Linked DNA regions of Tamandua tetradactyla. The protein of the gene in region 1 interacts with the protein of each later gene in a biochemical or structural test. Links are inferred from orthologs where the notes say so. Each region holds a gene or a part of one and is shown in the gene's direction. Other genes may lie near its edges.

Region 1 (7,039 bases):
ATGATTCTCATTGGCCTGAGGATGGGACTTTCGATTTTAATATCCTTACGAACCTCCGCAACTTTTGCCAGAGGAATGACAAATGGGCCGAAATTCCTTATGTCCAGGCTTTTTTCCTTCTGCGCTCCCGCCCCTCCCTTTGTACCTCCTGCTCTATAGCTCATGTTCTCCTAGCCAAGGAAACTCCCAAATCCCCACTTCTCTCAGAAGAAACTTCCTCCTTTTCTGACCCCCTCGATTCATCTTCCTTTAAAAGACCAGGGCCACCACTGCATCTTGCGAAACTAACCTCCTCTCCCTCGCTCTACCCTCCCCTCCCTCCAGCAGCGCTCCAGTCGCCATCTTGCCTTTCCCTCCCCCCTTCTGCTTCAGTGACATCTCAGTTGCCATCTTCTCCTTCTCTTCCTCCTTCTGTTCCAGTGACGTCCCAGCCGCTATCTTTCCCTCCACTCTCCCCTTCCGCACCGGCGGCACTCCCGCTGCCATCTTGCCTTCGTCTTCCTCCTCCACTGGTGGCGCTCCAGCCACCATCTTACCCCCCTCTTCCTACCCCTGCTCCAGCAACATTCCAGCCACCATCCTATCCTTCCCTTCCTCCTTCTACTCCAAAGGCTCTCCCATTACCGGCATGACCCCCACCCCCTGCTTCGGCTCTTCTGCCACCAGCTAGTTCCTCGCTACCCTCACCTGTAAGCTCCCATACCCGCTCAAAAAGTACTTTACTCTGTCCCCTCCAGGAGGTTGCAGGACCTGAAGGATTAATTCAGGTACACACTCCCTTCTCTCTGGCCAATCTTTCACACATTGAAAAATGGTTGGGTTCCTTCTCCAACGATCCAACTACCTATACTAAACAGTTCCAGTATCTAGCTAATGCTTATGACCTCACTTGGCATGACATTCATATAATCTGCTCTTCTTCCCTCACTACAGATGAAATGGACTGCATTTTCAATGCAGCCAGGGCCCACGCTAACCAGGTGCATATAACCTACCACACCATGCCGGTAGGGGCCTAGGCCGTGCCAGACCAGGAGCCAGGGTGGGAATATCAGGATGACACTCCAGCGGGGAGGAACGGGCAGACTAGACGGGACAAAATGCTTACATGCCTCATAGCCAGCAAGCAGAAAGCTTCACATAAAGTAGTAAACTTCCATAAGCTAAGGGAAATTACCCAGGGTCCTGATGAAAACCCGGCCGCTTTTCTACACCAGCTCACAGAAGCCCTCTCCCAATATACCCGCCTAGACCCCGACTTGGAGGCTGGTAAAACTGTTTTAGTCACACACTTTATATCCCAATCGGCTCAAGATATAAGGCGTAAACTTAGAAAAATTGAGGAAGGCCCTCAGGCCCCTATCCGTGACCTGGTAAACACGGCCTTTAAAATTTTTAATACTCGTGATGAATTGGAGAGGGCAGAAAAGGAATCCCGGGACCGCCCAAAGGCGAATTTACAAACCCAATCCCTGACTGCGGCTCTGCGGCCCACTTCAACGGAGAAGAAGCCAGCTACGACTAATCCACCACAAGGAAAGTGCTTCAAATGTGGCCTCGATGGACAGTGGTTCCGCCAGTGCCCCAATCCTCGACTGCCCAAGGGACCATGCCCTCTCCGTGGTAAAAAGGGACACTGGAAAAGTGACTGCTCCTCGGTGCCTGGCCGTGAAGGGGCTGTCCTTCCAACCCCTAACCCACAGCTAGCAGTCCTGGGCCTGGCCACCAATGACTGACAACACCCGGCCTCAGTGACCCCAATCACCCTCATTGAGCCCAGGGTAACAATCAACGTAGCAGGTAAGTCCACCTCCTTTTTAGTGGACACAAGGGCTACCTTCCCTCTTACTCAGGTCAACTCCTTCCTTCCCAGGTCACCGTTATGGGCATAGACGGCCGTCCTTTGTGCCCCTTAACTACTGGACTGCTAACGTATTTAATAGAAGGGTACCCCATTACACACTCTTTCTTAGTAATGCCTTCTTGCCCCAGCCCATTAATGAGGCGAGATCTTCTTGCCAAATTAAGAGCCTCACTACATTGGATAAAAAACCCTCAAAAAGAACTTCATAGCAAGTGCCGGACTAACACCACTATCCACAACACCACCCATGCCCCCAAAGGACAATATTTCTGGTGTAATGGAACTCTTACCACATGCCTTAACTCCACTGCCCCAGGACCATGCTTCCTGGTAACTATTGTTCCTCAATTAACCCTCTATGGGGAGTCCGAACTAACTTGGTTACTGCCCTCTCCTCGCTCAAAAAGGGCTGCCTTTCTTCCTATCCTAGTAGGCATCAGCCTAACCACTTCAGTTGCAGCCTCAGCCACAGCAGGAGGGGCTCTGGGACATGATATTTTAACCTCTCAAAACTTTGAAACTCGACTACAGGTAGCCCTGGAATTGACATCAGAATCCCTCTCCTCTCTACAACGCCAACTCACCTCATTAGCCCAGGTAACTCTTCAAAATCGACGGGCCTTAGACCTGCTGACAGCTGATAAAGGAGGAACGTGTATATTCCTCCAAGAGGAATGCTGCTATTACATCAACGAGTCAGGTCTGGTGAAACAAAATATTCAAACCCTAAACAAACTAAGAGACGATCTCTACCACAGAAAACAAGGAACCAACTCTGCCTTAAGCTGGATTTCTTCTCCTCTGGTGACATGACTCCTCCCACTACTAGGACCAGTTATCCTAATCTGTCTCTTTTTTCTCCTAGCTCCCTGCCTCCTCAACTTCCTTCAGGGGTGCATGAAGGAACTATCCCCAGTAGAAGTCAACCAAATGCTCCTGCATCATTATCATCACCTGCCTTCCTCACCAAATTCCTACAGCCAGCCTCCCCGCTCCCCTGGCCATGACGGTTCCAGCCTATAACCCCACGCCGCCCCATTACAGCAGTAAGTAGCCAGAAAGATCTCAGCACCCTATTATCACAAAAAGGTTGGAATGTTAGGTCAGGGGAACCGTGAAGGGCACTGCAATCGGAGCTGCAGAGGCTGTGTCACCCCTCTCAGCCTGACTTCTGGAACTAATGACCTTCCCCTTCCAGAAGTGACCTGACCTCAAACCTTAAAAGCTGCCTGTGCCAAAGCCCACACGCGCACTCACCTCCCTCCATCTTGGGTTTGGTGAGTTCTGCCTGGGAGCGCAGAAATACCCACCCACCCCCCCCCACTTTAAATTTCCTAGTGTACCTTTCTTTCTTCTCACCCTTTCGCCTCCTAAACCTTTCACTAGTGACCCTTCATCCGCACCCCGTCACGGACCGACCCTACACGCCTCAAACGCACTAGTCTGCGTCACGAGCCCCAGCCCCCCACCCCCATGCAAAACGAAAGTTGACAGTGGAGAGGGCAGGCACGGAAGAACCCTCAATCCATGTCCCAGAACCCTAAACATAACCCCAACCCCCTAATCACTGCCTGGGTCACCTAAATGCTGCCCCAACCCCCCAATCCGTGTCCCGGAACCCTAAACACGACACCAACCCTCTAACTGCTGCTCTGGACCTCTACACGCGACCCTGGACCCCTAAGTCGCAGCCCAAGCGTTGAGCAGACGCTTACGCCATCAGGGAGGGCACACTGCCTAAGAATCAAGAAATCACTGCAAATTTCACAGCAACTCGGCCACGTGCACTATTTTCCGGGCCCCCAGTACCCTCGCCGAGCTGGGGGCACAACCCAGGGGCCCACCGAGACCCCAGGGCCAGGGCACGGGTGGCAGGGATACACACAACCGGGACCAGCCTGAGGAAAGAGGGTGGGCGGGGGTCGGTGGCGCCGGAAGCGCAGAGACCTTCCCGAGAATTCCGGGCCGCGCAGGCGCAGAAGGCGACGCGAGAGCGCGCAGCGAGGCGGGGCGGGACGCCTAGGCCATTCTCGGCTCGGGGCGGGACGCGGCCAGGGCGCAGGCGCAGGCGCGCGGTCGCGGCGGCAGTTGGGGAGGGTTCTTCCGGAAGGTTCGGGAGGCTTCTGGAAAAGGCGCCGCGCGCTGGGCGGGCCCGCGTCTATATAAGGGAGGCGCGGGGGTGGCGCGCCAGTTGCTTCAGCGTCCAGGGGTTGCTGCGGTGTGGTAACTGCGTGTTCCTATCGCCAAGGTAAGGGGAACTTGGGGGTCTCTTCTGGCACGGGAGGGTGCTGGTGTCTGGGAATGAGCGGGGAGGCGCGGCCGGGGGCACCAGACTCAGCCCCCAGCACCTTTCCGCGGTTCTCGGCCTATGAGTGTGGGGGCGGCCCCCGTCTCCCTTCCGGAGGCTTCGGGCCTGCCGCGGCCTCCCCAGAAACGGGTTCCGGACGCCCCTTGGTCTCCCGGGATATTCTGCCGAGGCGGTGGGGGATGGGTTCTATGCGCGGGCAGAAACGCCTTAGCGCCGAGGACTCTCCGGGCAGACGGCTCCCGGTTTCGGTCCCAGCTCGCGGACGCGGGTGGCGGCGGGGGGGTGGGGGGGGGCGTTATGGCGGCGTGGCGGGGAAAGGGGGCGCCCCCGTTGGCGGGGCGCGATAGAGGCGCACTGAACCCGCGACGTCTCCTGGCGGGGTGTGCGCGCCCCTGCGATTATCGCCGCGCTAAATGAGGTCATCCCTTTGTCAGCCCGCTGGCTATTTTCGGTTTCCTTAAATTTTTCTCTTCCCTGGGGCGGGTTTCTAAAAATACCGGACGGGTGCTCCGGACCCCGAGGCGCGGCTACGCGCCACGCCGCGGCCTGAGCGCGCGCTGCCTTCCGCAGATGCCCGAAGAGACCCAGACCCAAGACCAGCCCATGGAGGAGGAGGAGGTGGAGACGTTCGCCTTCCAGGCCGAGATCGCCCAGTTGATGTCTTTGATCATCAACACTTTCTATTCTAACAAAGAGATCTTTCTGAGGGAGCTTATCTCAAACTCGTCGGACGTAAGTCTGTGTTCCAGGGTCGGGTGTGGGTGAGGACCCGGCCGTGGGCTTGACGGGTGTATTCTTGCGTATAGGCTCTGGACAAAATCCGATATGAGAGCTTGACCGACCCCAGCAAGCTGGATTCCGGGAAGGAGCTGCACATCAATCTTATCCCCAACAAGCAAGACCGGACGCTCACCATCGTGGATACCGGCATCGGGATGACTAAGGCTGACCTGATCAACAATTTGGGCACCATCGCCAAGTCGGGCACCAAGGCGTTCATGGAGGCGCTGCAGGCTGGTGCCGATATCTCCATGATTGGCCAATTCGGCGTGGGTTTCTATTCTGCCTACCTAGTGGCGGAGAAGGTGACGGTTATCACCAAGCACAATGACGATGAACAGTATGCCTGGGAGTCATCGGCGGGAGGCTCCTTCACTGTTAGGACCGACACAGGTGAGCATCTAAGGGTGGGGTGGGGGGGGGTGGTGCTGAAAGTCTTGAGAAAGTGAGAGCCAATAGAGATGTAAGCAGGTGCAGGAGCCGAGCGTGCTGCTGCTCAGCCTTATGAGAGGGGGTAAACCCTGCCTATTAGGGACTGGTTCAGAAAGTGCTGGCAAGGACCTCTTAGGTGACCTTGAGCCAAATGGGTATTTTTTTTAACCTTAACTATATCTGAAAGTTGTATTCTTTTCCTTTAAGGTGAACCCATGGGTCGTGGAACAAAGGTTATTCTGCATCTGAAAGAAGACCAAACTGAGTATTTGGAGGAAAGAAGAATAAAGGAGATAGTGAAAAAACATTCTCAGTTTATTGGCTATCCAATTACTCTTTTTGTAAGTTTGTACATAAACTGCAAACTGCGTAGTGGACGCCTGTATGTAATTAGCTGAACTTGAAGTCTTTAGGCTTAACTAAGGAAGACCCAAATTTAAAGGGTTTATTAATGCTGGTCTGAAGCCTGTTTGGAGCTGGGTTCCTCTGACCTTAATTCTGTATACAGAAGTAAGGCTGAAATAATTTGTTGCTGTAAAGTTTCCTTACAGGTTTCTCTGCGTGGTTGACTTAGATTATGATATAAGTACTCTTAGCCTGTTTTAGTCTTAGGAAGCAGAGTATTTCACGTAATTTTTTTAACCAGGTGGAGAAAGAACGTGATAAAGAAGTAAGTGATGATGAGGCTGAAGAAAAGGAAGAAAAAGAGGAAGAAAAAGAAGAAAAGGAGTCTGATGATAAGCCAGAAATAGAGGATGTTGGTTCTGATGATGAAGAAGAAGAAAAGAAGGATGGTGACAAAAAAAAGAAAAAGAAGATCAAGGAAAAATATATTGATCAAGAAGAACTTAACAAAACAAAACCCATCTGGACCAGAAATCCTGACGATATTACTAATGAAGAATATGGAGAATTCTATAAGAGCTTGACCAACGACTGGGAAGACCACTTGGCAGTGAAGGTGAGCATTGAGTGCTTCCAGAACTATCATGCCTCAGCCAGGTAATTGGTCTCAAATGGTTAAATCAGAGGGTAGGTGGTGTGGGCTTTTTTCTTTTATGTCTTAGTGCTTTAAGTTGTGTGACTGCAAGTACTTATCTGTCAGTTAAAGTGTTCAGTAAAAGCTGCTTTCACTGTCTCTTGGTGTTTAGTGTTTTGTTCTTTTTTCCCCCAGCATTTTTCAGTTGAAGGACAGTTAGAATTCAGAGCCCTTCTCTTTGTCCCAAGACGTGCTCCTTTTGACCTGTTTGAAAACAGGAAGAAAAAGAACAACATTAAGTTGTATGTTCGCAGGGTTTTCATTATGGATAACTGTGAGGAGCTGATCCCTGAATATCTGAGTAAGTGTGGCTGGGTTAGTTTATGTTTCTTTGGGTGTCTATACTAAACAATTTTTGTCTTTGGGTGGTATATCTTGAAGGCATTTGGTCTATGTTTTTTCAGATTTCATTAGAGGTGTGGTGGACTCTGAGGATCTTCCTCTAAATATTTCTCGTGAAATGTTGCAACAAAGTAAAATTTTGAAAGTTATCAGAAAGAATTTGGTCAAAAAGTGCTTAGAGCTCTTCACTGAACTGGCAGAAGATAAAGAGAACTACAAGAAGTTTTATGAGCAGTTCTCTAAAAACATTAAGGTTAGTGTAAATCTGTTTGAT
Region 2 (7,273 bases), on another chromosome or scaffold:
CCCACCACTCCTTCAGGCAGAAGACAGACTCAACCCAGGCTGCAGAGCACAACCAATCCCAGGCTGCGTAGGGGTCCCCTGCTGCAGCACGGGGTCCCATGCCCAGAGCTGGGAGATGCCTCGGCCACTCCGGGGCCTGTGAGGGGAGCCCCTCCATGCAGAGGCCTCCAGCAGCCACACTTCCCTAACATGGCCCCAGCCAGGCCCCGCCCCCACACTCCCCTCACCCCCCAGTGACTGAAGCCCACTGTGGGCCTCCACGAGCCGGGAGGGCCCCTGAGCCCAGCGGATGTGGTGAGACGGGCGCCGTCGGCCACCCGGGCCCCGTCCACAGGAGCCCGTCCAGTGCCTGGACCGGCCCTGCCTGGCCCCTCCCACCCAGGACCTAACACGGGGGGCGGCACCCAGGTCATGGCACCCAGGACCTAACATGGGGGGCGGCACCCAGATCATGGCACCCAGGACCTAACACGGGGGGTGGCCCTCAGCGCCGAGGCGGGACGCAGGAGCTCGGGCTCTGCTGCTCCAGGTGACCAGAGCCCAGGGCTGGGTGGGCCACGGCCACGGGGCTGGCCTTGGTGCCAGCGGGTGGCCACTGCCTGGTTCCAGGCCCGCAGGGGCGGTCTTGGTGGGCAGCTGTCTACACTGTGCAGGCCCCGCGGTGGCGTGGAGCTCGCACCGCAGGAAAACTCGCTCTTGCCGGCACCCCATTCCTAAGGGGCCCAGTGCAGAAGCTGGACAGACGTCCACGGGACCCAGATGGACAGGGAAGACACCACCCCCTGCACGGCCATGGGAGGGAAAAGCCAAGAGGCCCAAGGACTGCCGGTGGCCAGGGGACACAGGCCCGGGGGAAGGCAGCCTGCGGCCTCGAGACACTGCGGCCTCGATACGCTGCCTGCCGCACCCCAGCAGCCGGGAAGCGGGGACAGGTCGTCGGACCAGGGTGGGCCGTGGCTGTCCACCGGGGACGGCTGCGGGCAGCGGGATGCGGGGCACCAAACTGGGCAAGCACCTCCCCTACCGCAGCCCCTGCGCGCTCGCCCTGGGCGGTGGGAAGCGTGACCGGGCGCGGCCACTGCACTGTCGTTGCACCTGCGGGACAGGCCACTCGCCCTCGCCGGGGAGCGTGTGGACACGCCGTGGCACCCCCACGGCACACAACACGGCCCCACAGCCAAAGCCACGGATTCTGAGCAGCGCCAGGCTAGTGTCCGGACGCGTGGCGAGGGCAGAAAGCCCGCCCCAAAGGCCATGTGTGATTCCATTCCTGTCGCGCTCTCCAATCGACAAAATTAGAGCTGGAGAAGGGCCGGGGTCACCAGGGGATGCGGCGAGGGGCGGGAGGCACATGGGGGCCTGCTCGGTATTGGGGCTCAGCTCCCAGCCTCGATCAAGCCGGAGGCCACGCAAACTGAACAGACGCAGGCGGATGCCCAGGCAGTGTCACAGCCACAGAGACGTCACAGCTGGGGCTGAGGGCAGCCCCCAGGCAGACTGAGGACCCAGAAGAAACACTGTAAACAGGCCCCTTGAAGCTGTCAGCCTCGGTCAATGTGTGGCCACCCGAGCCAGGCTGCATCCTGCCCCCGGGATAGAAGGCCACGAAGAGAAGCTGGAGGTCACAGAGCCGAGGCAAAAGGCGGGGGTGGCACCAGGGCCCAGCACTGCCAGAAACCCCCGAACACATGGGACGGAGCCTTCCAGCCTCGGAACCCTGAGCCGCAGAGTGCCCGTGCTTAACCAGCCCAGGGCGTGGTGTTTGTCTCGGTGCAGGACACCGGGGCCCTCGGAAAGTGTCTGGGAACCTGGGAGCGTGCTGCCTTCTGGGGCGAAACGACCTGGAGTAGGGAGAGTCTCCTGGGTGCAGGGTCACTGCAGTGGACAGCAGAGCCAGGAAGCAGGACTCGGGGTCAGAGAGGGCATCGGCTTGAGAGTGCAGGAAGGAGCCATGAGCCCCCCGAGGCCGGAAAAGGCTAGGGGCGGGTCTTCCCAAGCCTCCAGGACAATTGTGCACCTGCACCTGGCGAGCGAGGTCGCTGGACCTCTGGCCCCCAGCTGCTGTGTGCCAGGTCACTGTTACAGCACCTACAGGTGCCAATTCCCTGGGGGTCATAAGGATTTCAAAGCCACAAGTGAGAGAACAGAGCGCTGGGAGTGAGCCCCCGGGGTGGGGGTGGGGGTGCTGTGTCCGGCGTCCAGCATGGGCACCCTGTATACAGTGGGGTGTGCCGTGGACCCCACATCCTTGCATGTACTTTCCCTTAGAATGGGAGCTTACTCCCATTAAGTCCCACGGCACCCATTTTGGAGCCGCAGACGGCTGAGACGCGGCCAGTCCTCCCCCTTTCCGCAGCGCGCACCCAGCACGCCAGGACGGCGTGACCAGCCCCGCCCACGGCACCCCACCCCAAGACCTGCGCCTTCAGCCCCCCAAACCCACGGGAGACCCCCGCAGCGCTGTGGAACCCCGAGCCTGCCCCTTTCCCTCAGGATCTCCCAGGGGTGGGTTGTACACGCAGGCCTGTGGCGTGGGGGCCACTTATTTCTCTCCTTACTCAGGGCTGAAGCGACTCACTGCCCGCCCTGCGCGGGTTGCTGGGTTTCCCTTCACCTCCCGGTGTGGTCAGCACGTGGACACCGCCCTGGAGGCGGCCACCTTGGCGCCCCCCTCCTGGGATTGAAAACAGGGCCTTCCTGCGTGCACGCCGCTGTCTCTGGCTGGGGCGCAGCGTTCAGCACTGCCGCCCGTCCCTGCCGTGGAAGGGCTAGAGCGCTTTTCTGTGGCTGGCCTGTGTTCCAGCCAACTGGGGTAGACTGAGTCACGTCCCGACAAAGGCACGTCAGAGCCCTGGCCCAAGCCAGGGGATGAGCTGTTCTGTCACTGGGATGGTGGCGTGGGCCTGGCCGGCGCTCTGCCCTGCCTCAGTTTCTCCCGCTCCCTTTAAGGATGAGCTGCGCCTTCTGACGCCCCGTTCGTGGCGCCTGTTGAAGGTTCTGTGTTGGGGCAGCCACTTCTCTGTTGGGAAAGCGCACGTTCTCCAAAGCAGCGCGAATCCTTCGCCGCACAGTTAAGCGGTTGTCCAACACCGCCTTGCCGAGGCAGGAGCTGGCGCAGCGCACGGCGGAAACGGCTCCAGACAGCTCTGCGCATTTACCGCAGCCCGGACAGGGTAAATGCGCAGCGACGGCCTCGCCAGCTGCTCAGGTTGGAAAGGTCACGTTTGCTCAGCGTTTCAGCGTTTACGAAACTCCCAGCTCCACTCCAGAGACCCCCAGTGTCTCCACTTGGTGACTCAAACTTGACCGCCCCAAGTGTGGGTTTAAAGTCGAGTCCCGTGGAGTGTCGTGAAGGAGGTGAACTGAGGCCGCCCCGTCTGTGCCCCCGCCCCGTGACCTCAGCCTGTGCACCCTCAAGCGGTGGAGGGGTAACTGGTAAAGGGGGGCCGGGCTGTGGGATCACACCTCCCTCGCGGCCCAGTGGGCCCCTGCCCGTGAAGTGGGTTCTGAGGGGAGAGCTGCCCCCTTGGCCGGGGGGTGGGGGTGGGGCAGATTACACCAGGAACGGCTTTGGTTTGCTGTTTACTGTCCCCACCACGGCAGGAGCCTGAAAAGGGGACCCCGAAAAGGGGACCCTGGCGCGTGGTGGGGCTGCGATTCCGACCCGGTCGGGAACGTGCTGTAGGGAGGGCTGGCTGCCATCGTCCCTTTCCGTGGCACCAGCCGCGCGGGGGCCGAGGGCCTCCGAGGAAGGGAGTAGCAGAACGCCCTCTCCTCAGGGGCGCAGAGACCCCCAGCTCCCTGTGGACCCCATCCGAAGGTCCGCCGCCCCGGCTAAGTCCGGATCCTCTTGGCAGAGAGGCCGCACTCTGCGCCCCGCGCCCGCCGCGCCTCTGAGCCCGGAGACGCCCTGAGAGGGGTCGCCCTGCAGCAGCCGGGTGCGTCCAGACTCCGCCTGCGCTCAGCCCTGATGCGGCCCTCGAGTGCCCGCCCAGATCCCCGGCGGGGAACAGGTGCGCGCAGGTCCCGCCCCCGCCCCGCCCAGGGCTCCGCCCCACCACGCCCCTTCCTCTCCGGGCCCCGCCCCACCACGCCCCTTCCTGCTGCGGCCCCTCCCCTCCTCGCAGCGCCGGCGGGAGCCTGGATCCCCAGCACGTGGGAGCTCGGCTCGCGCGCCCCGGCCCTTCCCCGCCGCGATGCCGCGCGCCCCCCGCTGTCGGGCCGTGCGCGCGCTGCTGCGCGGGCGCTACCGTGAGGTGCTGCCGCTGGCCAAGTTCGCCCGGCGCCTGGGGGCCGAGGGCCGGCGGCTGGTGCGGCGCGGGGATCCTGCGTCCTTCCGTGCGCTGGTGGCCCAGTGCCTGGTGTGCGTGCCCTGGGGCGCGCGGCCGCTCCCCGCTGCCCCCTCCTTCCAACAGGTGGGACCCGCCGGGCCCTTTTCGCCCCACCCCGCCGGCGTGCCGCGGGGCACGTGCATTCCGGGGCGCCGACTCACGCCCCTCAACCCCCGTCGCGTCCGCAGGTGTCCTACCTGAAGGAGCTGGTGGCCAGGGTCGTGCAGGGCCTGTGCGAGCGCGGCACCAGGAACGTGCTGGCCTTCGGCTTCGCACTGCTGGACGAGGCGCGCGACGGGCCGCCGGTGGCCTTCACGACGAGCGTGCGCAGCTACCTGCCCAACACGGCCACCGAGACGCTGCGCGGCAGCGGCGCGTGGGGGTTGCTGCTGCACCGCCTTGGGGACGACGTGCTGGCCCACCTGCTGACGCGCTGCGCACTCTACCTGCTGGTGGCCCCCAGCTGCGCCTACCAGGTGTGCGGGGCGCCGCTCTACGAGCTCGGCTGGTCCCCTGTCCGTTCGGCTCGGCGATCTGCCAGCGCCGGGGAGGTAGCGCAGAGGGTCGGCACAGCGGCAGCCCCCAGCCGGAGGCGACGTCGAGGCAGCGCGAGCGGGTCGTCTTCGGCCAAGAGACCCAGGCGTGACCCGGTTGGGGAGCCCGATGAGCCGGCTGCCCTGGCTGACCCAGGCCGGGTACAGATGCAGAGGGACAGCGATACCCCGACTGGGACAGCCATCCCCGGAGCCGCCACGTTTGCCACCACTTGGGAGAGCGAGCCGTTGGGGACATGTGGCCCTTCCACGCGGGCGGGCAGCGATCGCGCCACCCGGTCCTCGTCCACACGGCCACCGCCGTCGGGTCCCTGGGACACTTACATCGAGACCAAGCTCCTCCTGTACTCCGCCCGGGCCAGCGAGCGGCTGCCGCGCTCCTTCCTGCTCAGCGGCTTGCAGGGAAGCCTGGCAGGCGCCGGCCGCCTCGTGGAGGCCATCTTCCTGCCCTCGACGCCGCCCGCCCGCGGGGCCTCCCGGAGGACGCGGCGCCTGCCCCAGCGCTACTGGAGAATGCGGCCCCTGTTCCGGGAGCTGCTGGAGAACCACGCGCGGTGCCCATATGGCGCGCTGCTCAGCACGCACTGCCCACGCCGGGCCTCAACGTCCGTGCGGGGGTCCCCTGGGCGCGCCGAGGCTGGGGGCCTGCTGTCGGGCGGGGCAGGGGGCGGGCCCCAGGAGAGGCCCCCCAGGCTGGCAGCGGAGGCAGCCGGCGAGGAGGACGCGGAGCCGCGGCGTCTGGTGCAGCTGCTCCGTCGGCACAGCAGCCCGTGGCAGGTGTACATGTTCCTGCGCGCGTGTCTCCAGCGGCTGGTGCCCACCCGCCTCTGGGGCTCCAGACACAATAAGTGTCGCTTCCTGAGGAACGTGAAGAAGTTCCTCTCGCTGGGGAAGCACGCCCGGCTGCCGCTGAGGGAACTGATGTGGAAGATGAGGGTGGAGGACTGCACCTGGCTGCGCCGGCGTCCAGGTGAGCAGGTGGGCCCAGGACGGGGCAGGTGGCTGTCCAGCGGTGGCATGCAGCTGTGAGCACGGGAGGCTCGAGAAGGCGCACACTGGTGGGCAGAGGTCCGCCTGGGTCCTCGGACCCCTTCCCTCACTTGGGGTGCAAGTTGCTTCCTGTTCAGGCCACATGTAGGCCATCTCTGCCCTCTGATCCACGCCCTTACCTGCCCAGCACTGTCCACCCATTTGTGGGCTCAGGCCGGAGCAGTGAGCAAACAGGATGCAGAGGGCCAGTGGAAGCAGGTTTCCAGCAACAGGTCAGAAGTGTCCAGAAGCTCTCATGAGGGTGCGGGCAGCTCACTGCTGTCCCCTCCTTGACTTTAAAGTTTATCCCTGTAAAACCGGGCCCCATGCTCCACGTGGGGGGAGGGAAGAGAAGGGGATGGGAACTGAGCCTTTGTGGGTGGTGGGCGGGGGGCAGCGGGCAGATCCGCACTTAGGGCTGAGCTGGGCGGGGAGGGCAGGGTGCGGGAGGGGTGCAGGAGCCGTGGGAGCCAGACCGATGGGTGGGGAGAGCAGTGGGTAGCCTCTTGCTGCAGGGCAGCCAGGCAGCCCCGAGGTCCTGGGGGGCCCCTTGGTTCATGCCGTGCTCCAGGACTTGACATGGAGTCCCTTCTGCCCCCGTCGCCCACACACTAGTGTCAAGAGGCACGGGCCGCCCGCCTCTGCCGCGCCGTCTGGTGAGCAGCCTGTCCTTCACCCCGCCTCGGGTGTGCGGGGCGCCCGGTCTCCCTCCGGTTGGTGGCTCGGCCCTGACTGTCCCTCCAGGCCCTGCTTTAGCCGCACCCAGGCTCCATGTGCGCCGCTCACGGTAGCGGCCATTCGAGTGTGTTCTCGTCTCTTCTGAGATCAGGTCAGCGCGTTAGTTAAGACGTTTGTGTTTTATTTCCCACGTGTGTGGGATGTCGCGGGCTGTTGTGGGTGGCTTCTCCCCACGGTGTGCTGGTCAGGGGGAGGGGGCTGCACGAGACTGTGTGATGTCTCTTGGGACTTTTCTCCTGCCGGGGGGGTGTGCTCTGCGCGAAGCCCGGTGGGCGTTGGGGCCCCCCAGGCTCCCCCCGTGCTGCCCGGAGCTGCTGCCCCTACGCAGCTGGCACGCGGCCCACACCCTCCCGCGGGGTCTGCGCTGGGCACGCTGCGGGGACCGTGACGAGGACTTGGCAGCGTACTGGAGGGTCCGTCTTCCTGGCGATTGCTCCCCGGTCGTGGCGGCTCTCACGGCCCTTCGGGGGCCGCGCGGTTTCCCTGTGGCAATGGCCGTCCATTGCGCCTTCTCACCCTTCTGTTTTACCCTCTCGTGGCCTCGGACCTTCTCAGCGCGTGTCCTGTGACAGCACGGGGCCGGGGCCGAGGGCACTTTCAGTCTAATCTGTCATTTATCCG

What was found.
Region 2: the proteins of HSP90AA1 (region 1) and TERT form a complex in vitro, tested with the Homo sapiens proteins (2 studies listed by BioGRID). The link is inferred for Tamandua tetradactyla from reciprocal best matches to the Homo sapiens genes HSP90AA1 and TERT.

What each region holds. Positions count from the first base shown.
Region 1 is NC_135338.1:63,505,224-63,512,262, reverse strand, and holds the start of HSP90AA1 (heat shock protein HSP 90-alpha), read left to right. Parts: upstream 1-3,969; 5' UTR 3,970-4,112; intron 4,113-4,742; coding exon 4,743-4,904; intron 4,905-4,978; coding exon 4,979-5,345; intron 5,346-5,591; coding exon 5,592-5,725; intron 5,726-6,030; coding exon 6,031-6,345; intron 6,346-6,558; coding exon 6,559-6,724; intron 6,725-6,827; coding exon 6,828-7,018; intron 7,019-7,039. UniProt on the Homo sapiens protein: Molecular chaperone that promotes the maturation, structural maintenance and proper regulation of specific target proteins involved for instance in cell cycle control and signal transduction.
Region 2 is NC_135335.1:49,469,575-49,476,847, reverse strand, and holds the start of TERT (telomerase reverse transcriptase), read left to right. Parts: upstream 1-4,196; coding exon 4,197-4,415; intron 4,416-4,519; coding exon 4,520-5,855; intron 5,856-7,273. UniProt on the Homo sapiens protein: Telomerase is a ribonucleoprotein enzyme essential for the replication of chromosome termini in most eukaryotes. Active in progenitor and cancer cells. Inactive, or very low activity, in normal somatic cells.